2 linked regions of the Elephas maximus indicus genome follow. Each later gene encodes a partner of the first gene's protein in a complex. Links are inferred from orthologs where the notes say so. Each region holds a gene or a part of one and is shown on either strand. Other genes may lie near its edges.

Evidence for each region. The genes of interacting proteins can lie anywhere in the genome.
Region 2: the proteins of RBSN (region 1) and RAB4A are in contact, whole or in part, in a crystal structure (PDB 1Z0K), measured with the Homo sapiens proteins. The link is inferred for Elephas maximus indicus from reciprocal best matches to the Homo sapiens genes RBSN and RAB4A. Residues at the interface, in NP_001289307.1 of Homo sapiens: Glu441, Gly442, Trp443, Leu444, Pro445, Ser447, Glu454, Pro458, Leu459, Gln461, Gln462, Asn465, Ile466, Phe469, Asp480, Glu481, Thr484, Leu485, Asn488, Leu492, Glu495, Gln499; in NP_004569.2 of Homo sapiens: Tyr10, Leu30, His31, Ile34, Glu35, Ile46, Gly47, Val48, Glu49, Phe50, Gly51, Ser52, Lys53, Lys63, Gln65, Trp67, Arg74, Phe75, Ser77, Val78, Ser81, Tyr82.

The regions. Positions count from the first base shown.
Region 1 is NC_064838.1:38,698,242-38,705,577, reverse strand, and holds the start of RBSN (rabenosyn-5), read right to left. Parts: upstream 3,057-7,336; 5' UTR 2,967-3,056; exon of another isoform or gene 2,858-2,966; intron 442-2,857; 5' UTR 270-441; coding exon 122-269; intron 1-121. UniProt on the Homo sapiens protein: Rab4/Rab5 effector protein acting in early endocytic membrane fusion and membrane trafficking of recycling endosomes. Required for endosome fusion either homotypically or with clathrin coated vesicles.
Region 2 is NC_064821.1:209,902,718-209,910,334, reverse strand, and holds the start of RAB4A (ras-related protein Rab-4A), read right to left. Parts: upstream 3,015-7,617; 5' UTR 2,929-3,014; coding exon 2,898-2,928; coding exon of another isoform or gene 2,683-2,897; exon of another isoform or gene 2,541-2,682; intron 1-2,540. Other genes in the region: serine/arginine repetitive matrix protein 1-like, read left to right, coding at 2,683-2,898, 4,818-4,838. UniProt on the Homo sapiens protein: The small GTPases Rab are key regulators of intracellular membrane trafficking, from the formation of transport vesicles to their fusion with membranes.

The DNA.
Region 1 (7,336 bases):
ACAATGCCTGGCACATAGTAAACACCAGATATGTGTTTGCTACTATTATACTAACTGATTTGATTATTATATTCTGGTAGCAACACGGAAGCTGATGAAAACCATCCCATGTGCCTCTTACTTTTAATTTGTCCTCTGACGTCACGATCTTCTCCTGAATGCTCTTCCTCGTAATGTGACTGAAGCTGATAGAAAGATTGCAGGTCCTTCAGGCACAGAGGGCAGAGGAAACCCTCCCTCACGTCCCCTGGGTCATCCAGGGAAGCCATGGCAGTGCCCTCTCAACCCCCACAAGGCACCAGCCTCATGCCAAAAGTCAGCTTGATTCCTCCACAAGGGGCCAGGGCTCCTGCGGCATTAGCTTAACGAAACAGCACACTGATGACGGGAAAGTGGCATCGCGGCCCTGGATGAGGTTTCCTCTCTGGAGTAGTAAGAGCCCTGAGAAAGGAAAGAAGAAGAGGGAAAAAACCCAATTCAGACAAATTAGCAGCAATTGAAAATCCTCTTTGTCTTTTCACAATTCAACAAAGGTTCTTAATGTTTGGTCACTGCAAGTTTAAGAAAGCAAACTACTTTTTCAAGTCCTTAGAACAAAAACACAAAGTCGTCTAAGATTTTGAGAATGTCACTGGACAACGGAAACTCACTGAAGCAGGAAGAAGAGAGTCTTGAGGACCAGAAAGGAAAATTCAACTTCAAAAGCAAACACAACACCAAGGCAATTCTTTTCACATTATTCCAAATGGTCCAACTTCATAATCTGATGCCACCGTGGCCGCTGAAGAAATTTCTGAAGTATTCATCACCAAGTAGTAGTTTTTATTTGACTCTCTTTACCTGGATCATTTATTCAACTGCATATATTGGGTTTTTGCTACCTGCAAAGCATCTGAGCCAGGAATGCAAAGACGAAAAAGACAGAGTGCCTGCCCTAAAAAACAAACAAAAAACCAGACCAAAACAAACCAAACACACACACACACAAAAAAAAAACCCATCTCAGTCAAAGCAGGAGCATTACAAAACCTAGTGTAATGAAAAGAACAATCTGTTTTGCGTTTTATATTTATAGAGCACTGTCTCACCAATGAGCTTACTAGATTTTATAAATCAGTTAGTGGCAGTTGAACAGCAGGCCCAATGTTCTCACTGCTTCAAAAACAAAAGGATTTCAGGACTTAATAAGTTACATTTTCTGGCTCATTGGGTCATGGCAAAGTCACTTCCAAGGTCGCCTAAGAAAGACTCCCAGCCATAGGAAGAATCCAGATAAAAACATTCCACGAAAGCAGAAATTTCTCCTCAGGGGAACTCTAGCCACACCTAGCTGTGACCCTCAGCTCTGGATGAACTTGTTCAGAGGGCCATTGAAGAGGGACTTTCTTGGCCCCAAACCTGAAGAGTGGCAGTGACCCAGAAACTAATCAACTGGAGACCCCAGGTCCCAGTTTTTTTCCTCTAGCTAAGAAATACTGGGGTTCAGTGGTAGAATTCTCACCTTCCATGCAGGAGGCCCAGATCTGATTCCCGGCTGATGTACCCCATGTGCAGCCACCACCCATCTGTCAGCGGAGCCTTGCATGTTATGATGCTAAATGGGTTTCAGGGGTGCTTCCAGACTAAGATGGACTGGGAGAAAAGGCCTGACCTGATTCCAAAAATAAGCCAATGAAAACCCAGTGGATCACAACAGTCCAGCCCACAGCTGATCATGGGGATGGCACAGGATCAGGCAGCAGTTCCTTCTGTTGTGCAAGTGGTTGCCATGAGTCAGGGGCCACCTCCATGGCAGCTAACAACAAACAACAACCAGCTTAACGACTACACACACGCAATTCCCAGCTCCTTTTCTAGATGGTCACGGAAACTGTAGCCCCAGGTCTGATCTGTTCTCTCTCCAGACAATGGTCCATCTGACATTCTGACTCTGAGAGCCCACTTCCTTCCCCTGCACTCACCCATAACCACCACAAATCAAATACTAACCACCACCGCCCCCACAGGCTCCCTCAGACTCACCCTTCACATCCCAGCCCAAACCCCACTTCCTCAAGGAAGCCTTCTCTGACTGGAGGCACACCCTCCATCTGATAGCACCTGTACTTCTTCACAACACTCATCTCAATTTATAATCACACGTACGTATGTAAAGTGACTAAATACACAAGACTGTAAGCTCTATGAGGGCAGAAACTACGTCTGTTTTCCCAACCATCATATCTCCAGGGTTTGGCACAGTGCCTGGCACACACATAGTCAAAACGCAGTAAGCCCGTGAATGAATGAAGGAACCCCAAAATCATATAGCCAAACACACACCACCTAACTGGACCCCACAACCATAACTGAATACATATGCAAGCTCCAAAACCCCAAATCGCACAAGAAATAAAAATAAAATCCACATATCCTACAACTACGCGTCCTACTTGAATGCTATCCTACCACATGCCTCACAGACTACACCTCCCGCAGCCGCGCTCACCACAGCCTCAAGACCGCATACAGCACTGGCCCACATAACACATCACGATTATGCACACGTCGTATAACCACAGACTGTTGGAAAAACCCAACCCCCATGGAGCACAGACATGACAACTCCACACGCCGCAGACACAACACAAACACTACAAACAACCCCACACAAACTCTGAGCACGAACGCTTCAACCTCACACAACCAGAGAACTGAACACAAGCATTCAGGAGACAGCCACCCGCTTCTCAGCCGCATAACCAAACACCAACCGTACGCTCCCCGCATAACCACACAGAGCCCAATCACTACAAGCACACACAAGCGAAACGCACAACCCAAAAGCCGCATCTCCCAGCACGTATGTCACACACACCGCACGCCCGCACGGCCGGCCTGTCTCGGTTGCCGAGTGGCGCCACGCCTCCGCCCTCCAGGCTCGACCTGGCTTCTGCAACCGGTCGGGGTTCCGCGGCCGCGCAGACCTGTCAGGTCCTCCCGCCGGGGCTGTGGGCCTTCACAGCCCCTTACACCATTGCAGCCGCCATCGCCATCCTCGGCTCGGTGCTCGGCAGGCGCGCCTGCGGAGGCGGTGCCAAAACCGGAAGGCAGGCTGGCAGACGCCCGTAGAGCGCCGAGTCTTCGAGGGCGTGAAGGGGCGGGAACGTACTCCACCCGCCCGAAGAGGACCGGCGGGCTATGTGTAGGTGCCTTAAGAACGGCGGGTAGCTCAGTGGTTAAAACCATCGACCCGAAATGTCGTTGGTTGGAAACCACCAGCGGCTCTCGCGGGAGAAAGACGTGGCAGTCAGCTTCATAGAGATTTACAGGCTTGGAAACCCTGTGGGGTCGCTATGAGTCAGAAGCCACTGGATGGTTTTTTGTGTTTGGATAATTCCTTTGTAAGGATCCTGGGTGGTGCAGTGGTTCAAGTGCTCGGCTGTTAATCGAAAGGTGGGCAGTTGGAACCCACCAGTGGCTCTGCAGGGTGGGGGAAGATGTGGCAGTCTGCTTTCTTTAAGATTACAGACTAGGAAACCCTATGAGGCAGTTCTCTGTCCTATAGGGTCGCTATGAGTCGAATTGACTTGACAGCAATGGATTGGGTTTTTTATAGTTCATTGTGCCAGTGAATGAGTCAGCAGAGGGGGTCTTTAACGCCTTCTACCCCCACTCCCAATTGCAGTTCTAAATTAATTCGAGAGTCAAAGTCCTTGAGAGCTAGAGTTGGAAGACTTGAGGAAAGCCGAGGATGTGGGAAAACTCGGAATAGAACCACATAAGTGTGTGCGCTTGGAATGAGAAGGCGTATCCAGTGGACGTACAATATGTTCAAATCTGTGACATTTCAAAAAACAGGATGGATTATTCAGCACTAACCACAAAGTATATAGAGACAAAACCTAATTCCAGTGCTGGTGAGACACTGGGCTTAGCAGTGGCCTGGGCTTCAGAAGCAAGAGCTGCAGAGCATGATGGCTTGGGCCTTGGAGTTCCAGATCCCTGGTCTTCCTTGACCCCTTTGATCCTTAGTATTACCATCTGTAAAATGGGGATAATAGTCTCCACCTCATAAGGTTTTTATGAGGATTAAATGAGGGGCGGTTGTTGTTGTTGTTAGCTACCACCGAGATGGCCCCCTACTCATGGCAATAGGTTGTGGAGCCATGCTTACAGGTGGGAATATCATTGCGGTCAGAGGATGAACCTTGTATTAAACCATCATGCGTTCGCCTGGCATTTTATCATCCACAAAAACCAGTATCACATTCACCCTTTGGTTTGCTCGAAAAAGCCATGGCAATGTGACCTGCAGCTTGTGAATTAATGCTAGAATCATGATGGCTCTGCCACTGATGTTCCAATTGTTTTTTCCTTCTAAATTTTAGTTAATTTTGTTGCTGTTGAGAATATACACAGCAAAACATACACCAATTCAACAGTTTCTACATGTACAATTTAATGACATTGATTGCGACCATTCTCACCCTCCTTTTCTAAGATGTTCCTACCTCATTAACCTAAACTCACTACCCTCTGAGGTTCCTATCTAATCTTTCAAGTTGCTGTTGTCAATTTGATCCCATAGAGATAATTCTTAAAAGAACATAATGCTCAAGACAGACCTTTTTTTACTAGTTATCTGAACTGTGTTTTGAAGATGACTCACTGATGTTCTATTGATATTTTCAAAAATGATGGTAACAAAGACCTTCCTGTGTGCTTCACAGTTTATAAAAAGCACTTCCACATTCAATACATTAGTTAATCCTTCCAACTACTCTTTTTCCCATTTCTAAAATAACAATAATAATGACTGACATTTACTGAGTGATTAGCACATGCCAGGCACTGTTCTGTGTGTTTTACATACCATTTAATTCTCATACAACCCTATGAGGTACAAATTAATATCCCTCCCATTTTTACAGATGAAGAATCTGAGGCCCAGAGAGGCTAGGTGATTTGCCAAAGGTCACACAGCTTGTAAATGTTGAACCCAGAGTCATCTTGCCTCGAGGCCTTCAAACCCCGCCCCTCCTTGGGGTCCAGACCTGAACACTGAAAATTCTTGCATCTCTCATCATTTCCCAGGCACCAACCATGTACCAAGCAAAGAGAGAGAGAGTGAGAGGAGGCAGGGCAGTCTCCCTGGAGGAGGCTCAGCCATCAGGGGGACACAGACACATTCAAAAAGAGTTTGCACATGTGTGCAGGAGCTCCGGCATCAGAGAAGAGGTTAATTATTCCCTCTGTGAAAATCCAGGGCAGGTTTCCAGGGAGGCAACATAGGAGCAGAACCCTCAGGTAGAGAGGGTTGGGAAAGGCCTTCCAGGAGGCGGGGTGGGGAGGGGCATACGCAAAGGCATGGTTGTGGGGAAGAACAGGAGTCCTTTGAAAACCTAGGAAAGTTTGTTCACACCTAGAATGATAATGTGAAGGCACTGGCTCTGGTTCCCAAAACCAGGGCTTCAAACCAGTTTAGTCATGGTCAATGAAGCAAAACTAGAACAGACTCAAAGTTTTAAACTTGGGTGATCTGGAATGATAATTGAAATGGGAAAAATTACAGGTTGAACTCCTGGAATGGGAGACTCAGAAGAGATGTAGTGAGCCCTTTCAGGAGCCTGATGCGTGAGATTGGATTACTGGCAGGAAGGCAGAGAGTGACACACATTCCAAGCTGTGAAGTCAACTGCCATCTTTGAGCAGGGCACCGCTGTTTCCGGCTCAGCTCAAAATCCAATGGGCAAGACAACTGATAGCTATGCAATGAGTATGCTGCCCCTGTTTCCTAAGGGGGAGATTAAGTTTCCAGCAGGGCTTTGACCTGTAATTCTCCCTGTTCCAGGTATCATTCCAGTTCACCCAAATTTTAAAAATTCAAGGGAAAGATTAGTCCAAAGGACTAATGGACCATAACTGCCACAGCCTGCACCAGACTGAGTCCAGCACAGCTAGATGGTGCCCAGCTACCACGACAGCCTTTCTGACAGGGATCACAATAGAGGGTCCTGGACAGATTGGGAGAAAAATGTGGAACAAAATTCTAACTCACAAAAAAAAAAAACTGAGTTACTGGCCTGACAGAGGCTGGAGAAACCCCGAGAGTATGGCCCCAGATGCCTTTTTAACTCAGTATCTAAGTCACTCCTGAGGTTCACCCTTCAGCCAAGGATTAGACAGGCCCATAAAACAAAACATACACCAGCCCAGGGGCAAGGACAAGGAGGCAGGAGGGGACAGGAAAGCTGGTAACGGGAAACCTAAGGTCGAGAAGGGGAGAGTGTTGACATGTCGTGGTGTTGGCAACGAATGTCGCAAAATGATATGTGTATTAATTGTTTAATAAGAAACTAATTTGCTTTGTAAACCTTCATCTAAAGTAGAATAAAAAAATTTTTTTTTTGTTTTTGATTCAGGTCTCTTCCTGTTTTGCTTCCTCGGCCATGACTGAACTGGTTGGAAGCCCTGCCCGAAACCACAGGCCACAGGGAGCTGACTCTAATGGCGGGATCACCGGCAGCTGGACCTCTTCACCTCCCCTTGTACCTTAGAGCTCTATGTCTCTCTCTGGTCCCTTATTGTCTATATATGTTTATCCTGAGTAGCACAAGGCACTTGGCATCCCATCAAAATCCCTGATAGGAAGGGAAATCATGATGTGGACATCAGGGGAAGGTGTGTGGCACATGACGTAATGCCCCAAAGGTCTCGCTCCCCCGTACTGGCCCAAGTTCCAGATCCCAGGCCTCTGCCAGCTGCTGCTGTGGCCCAGAGCAGACCACGGGGAGGCAGGGCCTTGTCTGAAGAATGGGTAGAGGGTGCCAGGCTAGGCTGTGAATAGGGGAGCAGGTGGTAGCTGCTTCTGCCAGGAAAGACACAGAGAAAGGAGGAAATAAGACATGGAGTAAGGAGGGAGGTAGCAAGGTATGGTGGATAGAAGCACAGACATTGGAGGCAGCCACCCTGGGTTTGGATCCCAGCTCTGCCACTTGTAGCTGTGTGGCTCCAAGCAGATCACTCAAATTCTCTGAGCTTCAGTTTCCCGTAAAATGCAATAATAATAGTCGCTGTTCCTAGGGTGGAGGATTAAATGAGTTGCTACTAGTCTCCTAAGGCTGTGGTAACAAAGTACCACAAAGTGGGTGGTTTTCAACAACAGAAACTTGTTGTCTCCTGGTTCTGGAGACCAGAAGTCCAAAATCAAGGTGTCAGCTGGGCCATTCTCTTCTGAAAGCTCTAGGGAAGAATCCTTCCTTGCTGCTTCTACCCTCTGGAGGTTGCCAGCAGTCCTTGGCATTTCCTGGTTTGTGGCAGCGTAACCCCAACCTCTGCCTCCATTTTCACATGC
Region 2 (7,617 bases), on another chromosome or scaffold:
TGCTGCCCAAAGCTGAGGGGGTGGGGCTGCCATGCCCAAGGGGTAAAAGAGCAGGGCCTGTTGGTGCCAAGGGTGTGGGTTCACCACTCAGGTAGAACTAGGAGAACGAGGCCACCAAAGCCAAGGGAGCAGGGTTGCCATTCCAGTGGGCCGAGGGGTCTCCACCTAGAATCCAAAGAGCGCAGCCAACACCCAGAGTCTGGACCGCTTTGCCCAGATGGTCCCAAGAACAGAGCATTATTTTCAAGCCTTGAGAGCTAATGTAAATTGTTCTGCTGGATTTTAGATTTGCTTGATACCTGTTATCCCTTCTTGCCCTCCAATTTCTCCCATTTAGAGTGGAAATGTCTACCTTGTGCTATTCCACCATTATGCTCTGGAAACAGATAACTTGTGGTCTAGATTTCACAGGTTCACAGATGAAGAGGAGTTTTGCGCCAGGATGGAATACACCTAAAGTCTCATCCATATTGGATTTAGATGATTTTAGAAGATGAGATTTGGGACTTAGAGTTGATTTAAGACTTTTGAGACGATGTGATGGGGTGAATGTGTTTTGCATGTGGGAAAGACACGAATTTTGGGGGACCAAAGGGTGGAATGCTATGGACTGAACTGTGCCCCCCCACCCTCCAAAATATGTGCTATAAATCCTAACCTCTATGCTTGTGGTTATAATTCCATTTGGCAATGGGTTGTCTTTGTTATGTTAATGAGACTGGGTGATATGTTTAAATCAATCTCTTTTAAGGTATACCAAGATTGAACAAGCAAGTGAAAGAAGCAGAGATGGGGGAAGAGAGAGGCCAAGCCACATGAAGACCACACAGGAGCAGAAGCTCAAAGAGACAAGGACTTTCCTCCAGAGCTGACAGAGACAAAGCCTTCCTATAGCGCCGGCATTTTGAATTCAGACTTCTAGCCTAGTAAACTGTGAGAAAATAAATGTTTGTTAAAGCCACCCATTTATGGTGTTTCTATTGTAGCAGCACTGGATAACTAAGTCACTAATGCTCAAAACCTTATGATCAGGGTTTAACTAGTTAACCTATGATGCTCAAAAATTCAATGAACTGGGTCTAAAGTGAAGAATTAGACGCCAAAGTTATACTGTATTTTATCATTTCATATCAAGAAAACCAAAACTTAAAAACTAATCTCCTGAACTATTCCAGTCTGTCCTCCTTTCATACCAATTAATTCATGGACTCCCCCTGCCCCCTGCACCCCATTTTCTCATTTAGACTTCCCATTCCTCCCCACTACAACTTACCTAGGTTAAAGAAAAAAAGTGTGGGGAAGGGACACTTGAAAATAGAGAAGTAAAGGTATGGCCAGCATTTGTTAGAGAAATATATTTTCCTTATGAAGTTCATGACTGTAGACAGAACCAGTTAACAGAGGGAAGCAGACCACATGGACGTGATTCACACTGGCGTTTACAGCTCTGACAAGACCGGTGCTTATGAAGCCTGTGACTTCATGGAGGGCTTCCTATGCCTTCTAAGAACAGGGCATCATGCCACGACTGTCACAAAGAACAGTAGTGGTCAAAGATAGACCAAATCCACTCTGGCCCCACCAAAGGCTTCTCATTGCTCTTGGGAGAAATACCAAAACCCTTCACCAAGCCCTGTCCCACCGAGGGCCCTGTTTCCCTCTGTGCTTCTTCCTCATCCCTCTCCTCCAGGATGCCAAACCACATTCTTCTATTGGAGTTCCATTCCCCTCAGGGCCTGGGCACAAGCTGTTCTGTGGTGCTGCCTTGCTAACCTTCCTCGACTCCCCGGTCTGGGCCAGCTTTCTTTTTCACACACTTCTAGATCATTACATTTCTTCAGAATGTTGTCTGGGTTTTTATTACTCATTCATTAGTGTCATAATTAACACCGTATTCCCCACTAGACCAAAGACCAGCTTTGCTGGGCTCCCTGCCACATGCACAGGGCCTAGCACCAAAGCACCTAGCTTCACCACAGAGTTTCCACACTCATTTGTGGAATGGGATGACAGTCACTGCAGAAGCCAAATGCCTGGAGAGATGGAGACAGGACTGGCTGGCTGGAGGCATATACTTTTGAACCTGAGCCTCTCTCTCTCCAAGGCTGCAAAAACTCCCAACCAAAGTCTTAATCTGAGAATACATACACCTGAAAGAGTGATTCCAAAAACCAAACCCACTGCCCTGAAGTCGATTCCGACTCATGGCGACCCTACAGGACGGAGGAGAACTACCCCATTGGGTTTCCAAGGAGCAGCTGGTGGATTCAAACTGCTGACCTTTGAGTTAGCAGCCACAGCCACCTGGGCTCCTAAAATGATTAGAGGCTGGTAAACACGTGCTCAACCCTTATACCAAGTAGAAGGATACGGTATTGTTTATTCCTACCACCCAGGGCTGTTAAAAACCAACACTGCCTGTGAACTGCGAAGGCTTTCATTTATTCAAATAAATATTTGCTGAGCACCTCAGCTCTCCACGCTGTAGGAGAAACAAAGATCAGGCAGGGTTTTGCGTCCAAGGTGCTTACGGTCTTAAAACGGAGACAAGACCGCTGCAAGCCAGAACGGGCTAAAAACCCCTAGGAGCTAGAAATAAGTGATCTGAGAGGCCACCTGCGGAAGGGATGCAATTCCAGCAGAAAAGAAGGAACTGAAAACCAGCAAAGGTCAAACACTGAAATGCAGGCGTGGCCCCGAGCCCTTCTGGCCCCTCGCTGGGACAAAACCGCAGGTGGAGCCGGGTCTCGGCCCGCCCGCCGGACTAAGCCAGGGCTGTCGGCCGGCCGAGGCCGGCGGGAGCCGAAGAGGCGGGGGGCGTGCGTGGCCCCGCCGCCCTCCCGGAGGCGCCCGCCCGAGACCCCGGACCCGCGGACCCGGCCGCCCGGGCCTCCTACCGTAGGTCTCGGACATGGCCGTCTGCGACATCTTGGAGCGGCGCCGCCTCTCCCCGGGTCACCGGCTGCAGCGCGGGCCGGCCGGCGGGCGAGGGGGGCCGGGGTCGCTCGCTGCGTCTCGGAGGCGCGGCGGTGGGGGCGGGGAGGGAGGGAGGGGCCGGCGGCTCCCACGGCAACCGCCCGCCACCCCGCGGCTGCGGCTCGGCCCGGACCGCCGGGCTCGCGCAGGCGCACACCGCCGCTCCCGGGGAGGGCCGCGGCCGGCCGCCAGAGCGCGCGTGCGCAGGCGGAGCTCGCGCGGGTGGGGGCGGCATCCGAGGGGCGGCGGGGCCTGCCGAGGGGCGGTCGCTGCAGCCGCGCGCACTGAGCAGCCGAAGGGCCCGGGGGAGGGGGAAAAGGGGTCCGGGTGCAAGCTGGCCAGCCTTGGGAGAGACTTCACCGTCGTCATTTGGGGCGCGCGGCCGGGAGAAGGCTCCCTTCACGCTGGGATTACAAACTCCAGAGCTTGGTTAATGTGCAGCTAGCAGGGACGGCGCAGGTGCACAGCCAGAGCGTACCTGTGGCTGCGGGCGTGAGTCAGCCCGGTGAGAGGGAAACAAGCTCACCTGCCGACAGGCCGAACTTTCAAACCCAGTCTTTTCAGCGAGGCTGAGCGGGTGTGGGGGACACGGACGCCAACGTGCACAGGTGCTGCAGAGCCCCGAAGGCTGCAGCCCGCCAGCTCTGCGCCCCACTGTTAGGGAATGCTCACAGTCAGCAGGAAGGGCCTCCCGACTCCCAGCTGGGGATGATGGGCTTCTGAGGTTAGGAGGATCCTTGGTTGGGCATTCCGGTATAAAGAGCAAAGCCGAATCCAGAATCCCGTTCTGTCTGGAAAAGGAATTTTGGTTGGGAGTTTGATGCACCGACTATGACCAGGGCCACACGTGTATCTCTTAGGGCCCAACCTTGTTTCGAAGACAGAGTAGAACGCTAAAATGTGCCTTGGCTAAGCATAGTTCAGGCTTCCCAAGTGGCCTGGACTGTGGCAACACTCCAGCACCGACATTTTCCCCGAAACCATTTGGCTCCATCCTCCACGTAAGCTGGCACCAGACCTTCCCTGAGGCCTCTTTCTCCCCCCTTCCCCCATGGCTACTTGGCTCTAGATTTCACTCTTCTCTCTAATCCTATAGCAAATAAATGCTCTTGTTTCTAAGTTACAGAGAAGGCCCCATATTTCAAGAGTCGTAATTTCCTAGAATTATTTTGTGTGTATTTGTTGCTCCATGGCTGATTTTTTATTGCTGTATTGTTTGGCTTTCTGCATTTAGGTTTGATTTAGATTCCCAAGTTTAACAGATTAAAACATTTCAGGGGAAAGATAGTGATCCAGGAAGTGGGAAAAAGACAGCCTCACCTGAAGATAGGTCTCCCATTCTTTAGGTCTAAGACTGGCAGGAGTTTTCTTCCTGCCAGGAGCTGCTGTGGGTGAGAAAGGCGTCACTGGATACCTGTAGCTTGTGTTATTGCCTGAAAAAGCTCTGAAACCTGGACAGGGTAATAGAAATAAAAATTAAGCTGTCATTGCAAAGCTGTGAGCAATTTTCTATTTTGTGGAAAATAAAGATTTAGGTCTTTGAGGAAAGCCTGTTTGTTCTGGAAAAACCACCCAAAGAGATTATTTAGTTTTGCAAGTGTAAAGCCAAAATCACAACTAGAAAAAAGAATATTAAGGAACTGTCTTGAAAGAACCAAATATCATTGAATACAAATGTAGAAAGGTACTTTGCATCTCAGTAACTGTGGGTCTTCGAAAGAAAACAAGTTTCTTTTAAATATTCTCAGGCTCCTTTGAATCTGAGGTACTGTTGATTGGAAGAAAAAATTATTGCAAAATTAATTTGTGTTTTTGCCAACTATTTTCTCCTTTCCTTCCAGGGGAGGTTTGTGGCAGAGTGAAGGCAGTTTTCCAAAAGCCTAGGCACATTGGAGATTCATCTAAAGGAAAAATGAAGAGAGAAAGATTTCTCCCAACTAAAAATAGATCCCATTCACTTTTCCTAGGTCAGTGGTTCCCTCAAGTAGCTGCTGTTTTTCTTCCTGCTCCCTGGCAATGTTCAAGAATGTGTCATGACTTCACATTAAATGACTAGGAGCCTCAGGGTGCTGCCAACCTCACAAGGATTCCTGTTCCCTAGGACTGGTAGAGAACAATATAGGTGAGGACAGGTAAGTGAAGTGACCAACGGGACAGATGAATGATGACTGAAGAGATTTTCTGGCATCCTTGGGAGAGGGTCAGATCTGGAACTGTGGCACAGCCCCTGGATCGGGAGCCCTAAAAAGGCTTCGGGATGAGAATCCAGCCTGGTTCTGAATTGCAAGGAGCAGCAGCATTGGGAACGAGGGGACATGTCATCCTTGGCAGAGCTAGGCTTGATGGAGGACACTGGCCACAGCTTTAGTGGCGTGGTGACTTTCTATGGTAATGGCATTGAAGAACATGAGGGGACTTCTTTCTGAGCAAGTGAGGACTAAGAAATACTAGGGTGTTACATTGAAATGAGCTAAATTCTGCACATGCAGAAGGGAGCTTGAAATGTGACCTCAGTTGGCCACCCAGGCTAGTAAAGCCTATGGCATATAATTCATGTCTTCAGGTTGGAAGAGACCTCAGAGGCCACCATGCTAGCTTGCTTTCCAGTGCCAAACAAAACCACCTCTGACTGGGCACCTCTGTTGTTAGAAATAGTTAAGAAATAGTTAGATGAGCTAAATTAGCTGCGGTAACAAAGCTCTCTCAAAATATCTGTGACTTAACAAAGTTGATCTCTCACTCAGATGACCTGCCCCATGCCAGTTGGCGGAGAGGCTGGGCTCATTGGAGGCACTTATCGACCCTGGCTGACTCAAGTTTCATCTAAATACATGCTTCTGTGATCACCGATGCAGAAAAATGAAATCGACAAATTGTGTGTTAGCTCTTAAAGATTCCATGAAGAATTTATATATATATATATCAGTCACTTCCATTTACATTCCATTGGCCAGAGCAAGTCACGTGGCTACACCTGTCTCAAAGAGGACAGGAAGTGTAGAATACAGGAAGTTTACCACAGGTTGCTTCTCTTCTCCCCCGACCCCCAGGCTTTGTGCTGTTGATGTTATACTTCTGCAGCCCCAAATACATTGTTATTGTTTTGACTTTATACAGTGAATACTCTTTTTATAGTTGTGGTAAATATATATGTAACAAAACATTTGCCATTTCACAATTTTTCTCATGTACAATTCAGTGACTTTAAGCGTATTCATCATGTCGTGCAGCCATTGCCATTCTCTGTTTGCAAATATTTCTATTTCCCTTAGCAGAAGCACAGTGTCCCCTAAGCAACAAGTCCACCCTTCCTCCTACCCACCCACTGTAATCACTAATAAACCTAGGTCTGTATATACTGTTGCCTATTCTAGATATTTTGTATAAGCAGGATTATACAATATTCTTTTGTGATTGACTTACATTGCTAAGCATGTTTTCAAGGGTCTTCTATCCACTTAATTTCATTTTCCTACCTGTTTGCTGATAGAAAAGTACCATAGAATTATCCTTCCTTTATGTTTCTATGTTTTCATTGTTGTTGTTGTTGTCAGGTGCTGTCAAGTCGATTCCGACTCATAGCAACCCTATGTACGACAGAACAAAACACTGCTGGGTCCTTCACCATTCTCGAGATCGTTGCTGTTTGAGCCCATTGTTGCAGCCACTATGTCAGTTCATCTTGTTGAGGGTCTTCCTCTTTTTTGCTGATCCTCTACTTTACCCAGCACGATATATTTCTCCAGGGACTCATCCCTCCTGATAACATGTCCTAAAGAGTGTGAGATCAAGTTTCACCATCCTTGCTTCCAAGGAGTATTTTGGCTGTACTTCTTCCAAGACAGATTTGTTCCTCCTTCTGACAGTCCATGGTATATTCGGTATTCTTTGCCAACACCATTATTCAAAGGCATCAATTCTTCAGTCTTCCTTATTCATCATCCAGCTTTCACGTGCATATGAAATGGTCTGTTTTTGGCTTGGCTTCTTGTTAAAAAGATGGTTTGCAAAACAAGTGTTTTTTCCTTTTGGATTTTCTCGCCAATCCCTACCAAATACATTGAGCCAGAATTTTCTTTTATGAGTGGTTTAAAAAAAAATTTTTTTAAATCAAGTTTTTTGAGGTATGATTTACATACAATAAAATAATCAATTTTAAGTGTTCGATTCAATGAGTTTTGACAAATGTACACAGTGTGTAACAACCACAAAAATCATGATACAGAAGTTTTCTATCTGTCCCCCAAAGTTCTCTAATGTCATTTTGCATGCCTAAGTTGGCTGATTTTTAGAATTTTGGACAGGGGATTATTGGCTCTTACGTGTGTCTTAGTCATCTTGTGCTTCTGTAACAGAAATACCACAAGTGGATGGCTTTAACAGAGAGAAATTTATTCTCTCACAGTCTAGGAGGCTAGAAGTCCAAATTCAGGGTGCCAGCTCCAGAGGAAGGCTTCCTCTCTCTGTCAGCTCTGGGGGAAGGTCCTTGTCATCAATCTTGCCCAGTCGAGGAGCTTCTCAGCACAGGAACTCCAGGTTCAAAGGGCGTGCTCTGCTCCTAGCATTTCTTGCTTGGTGATAATGAGGTCCCTCTCCTCTCTGCTCAATTCTCTCTTTTATATCTCAAAGGAGATTGACTCA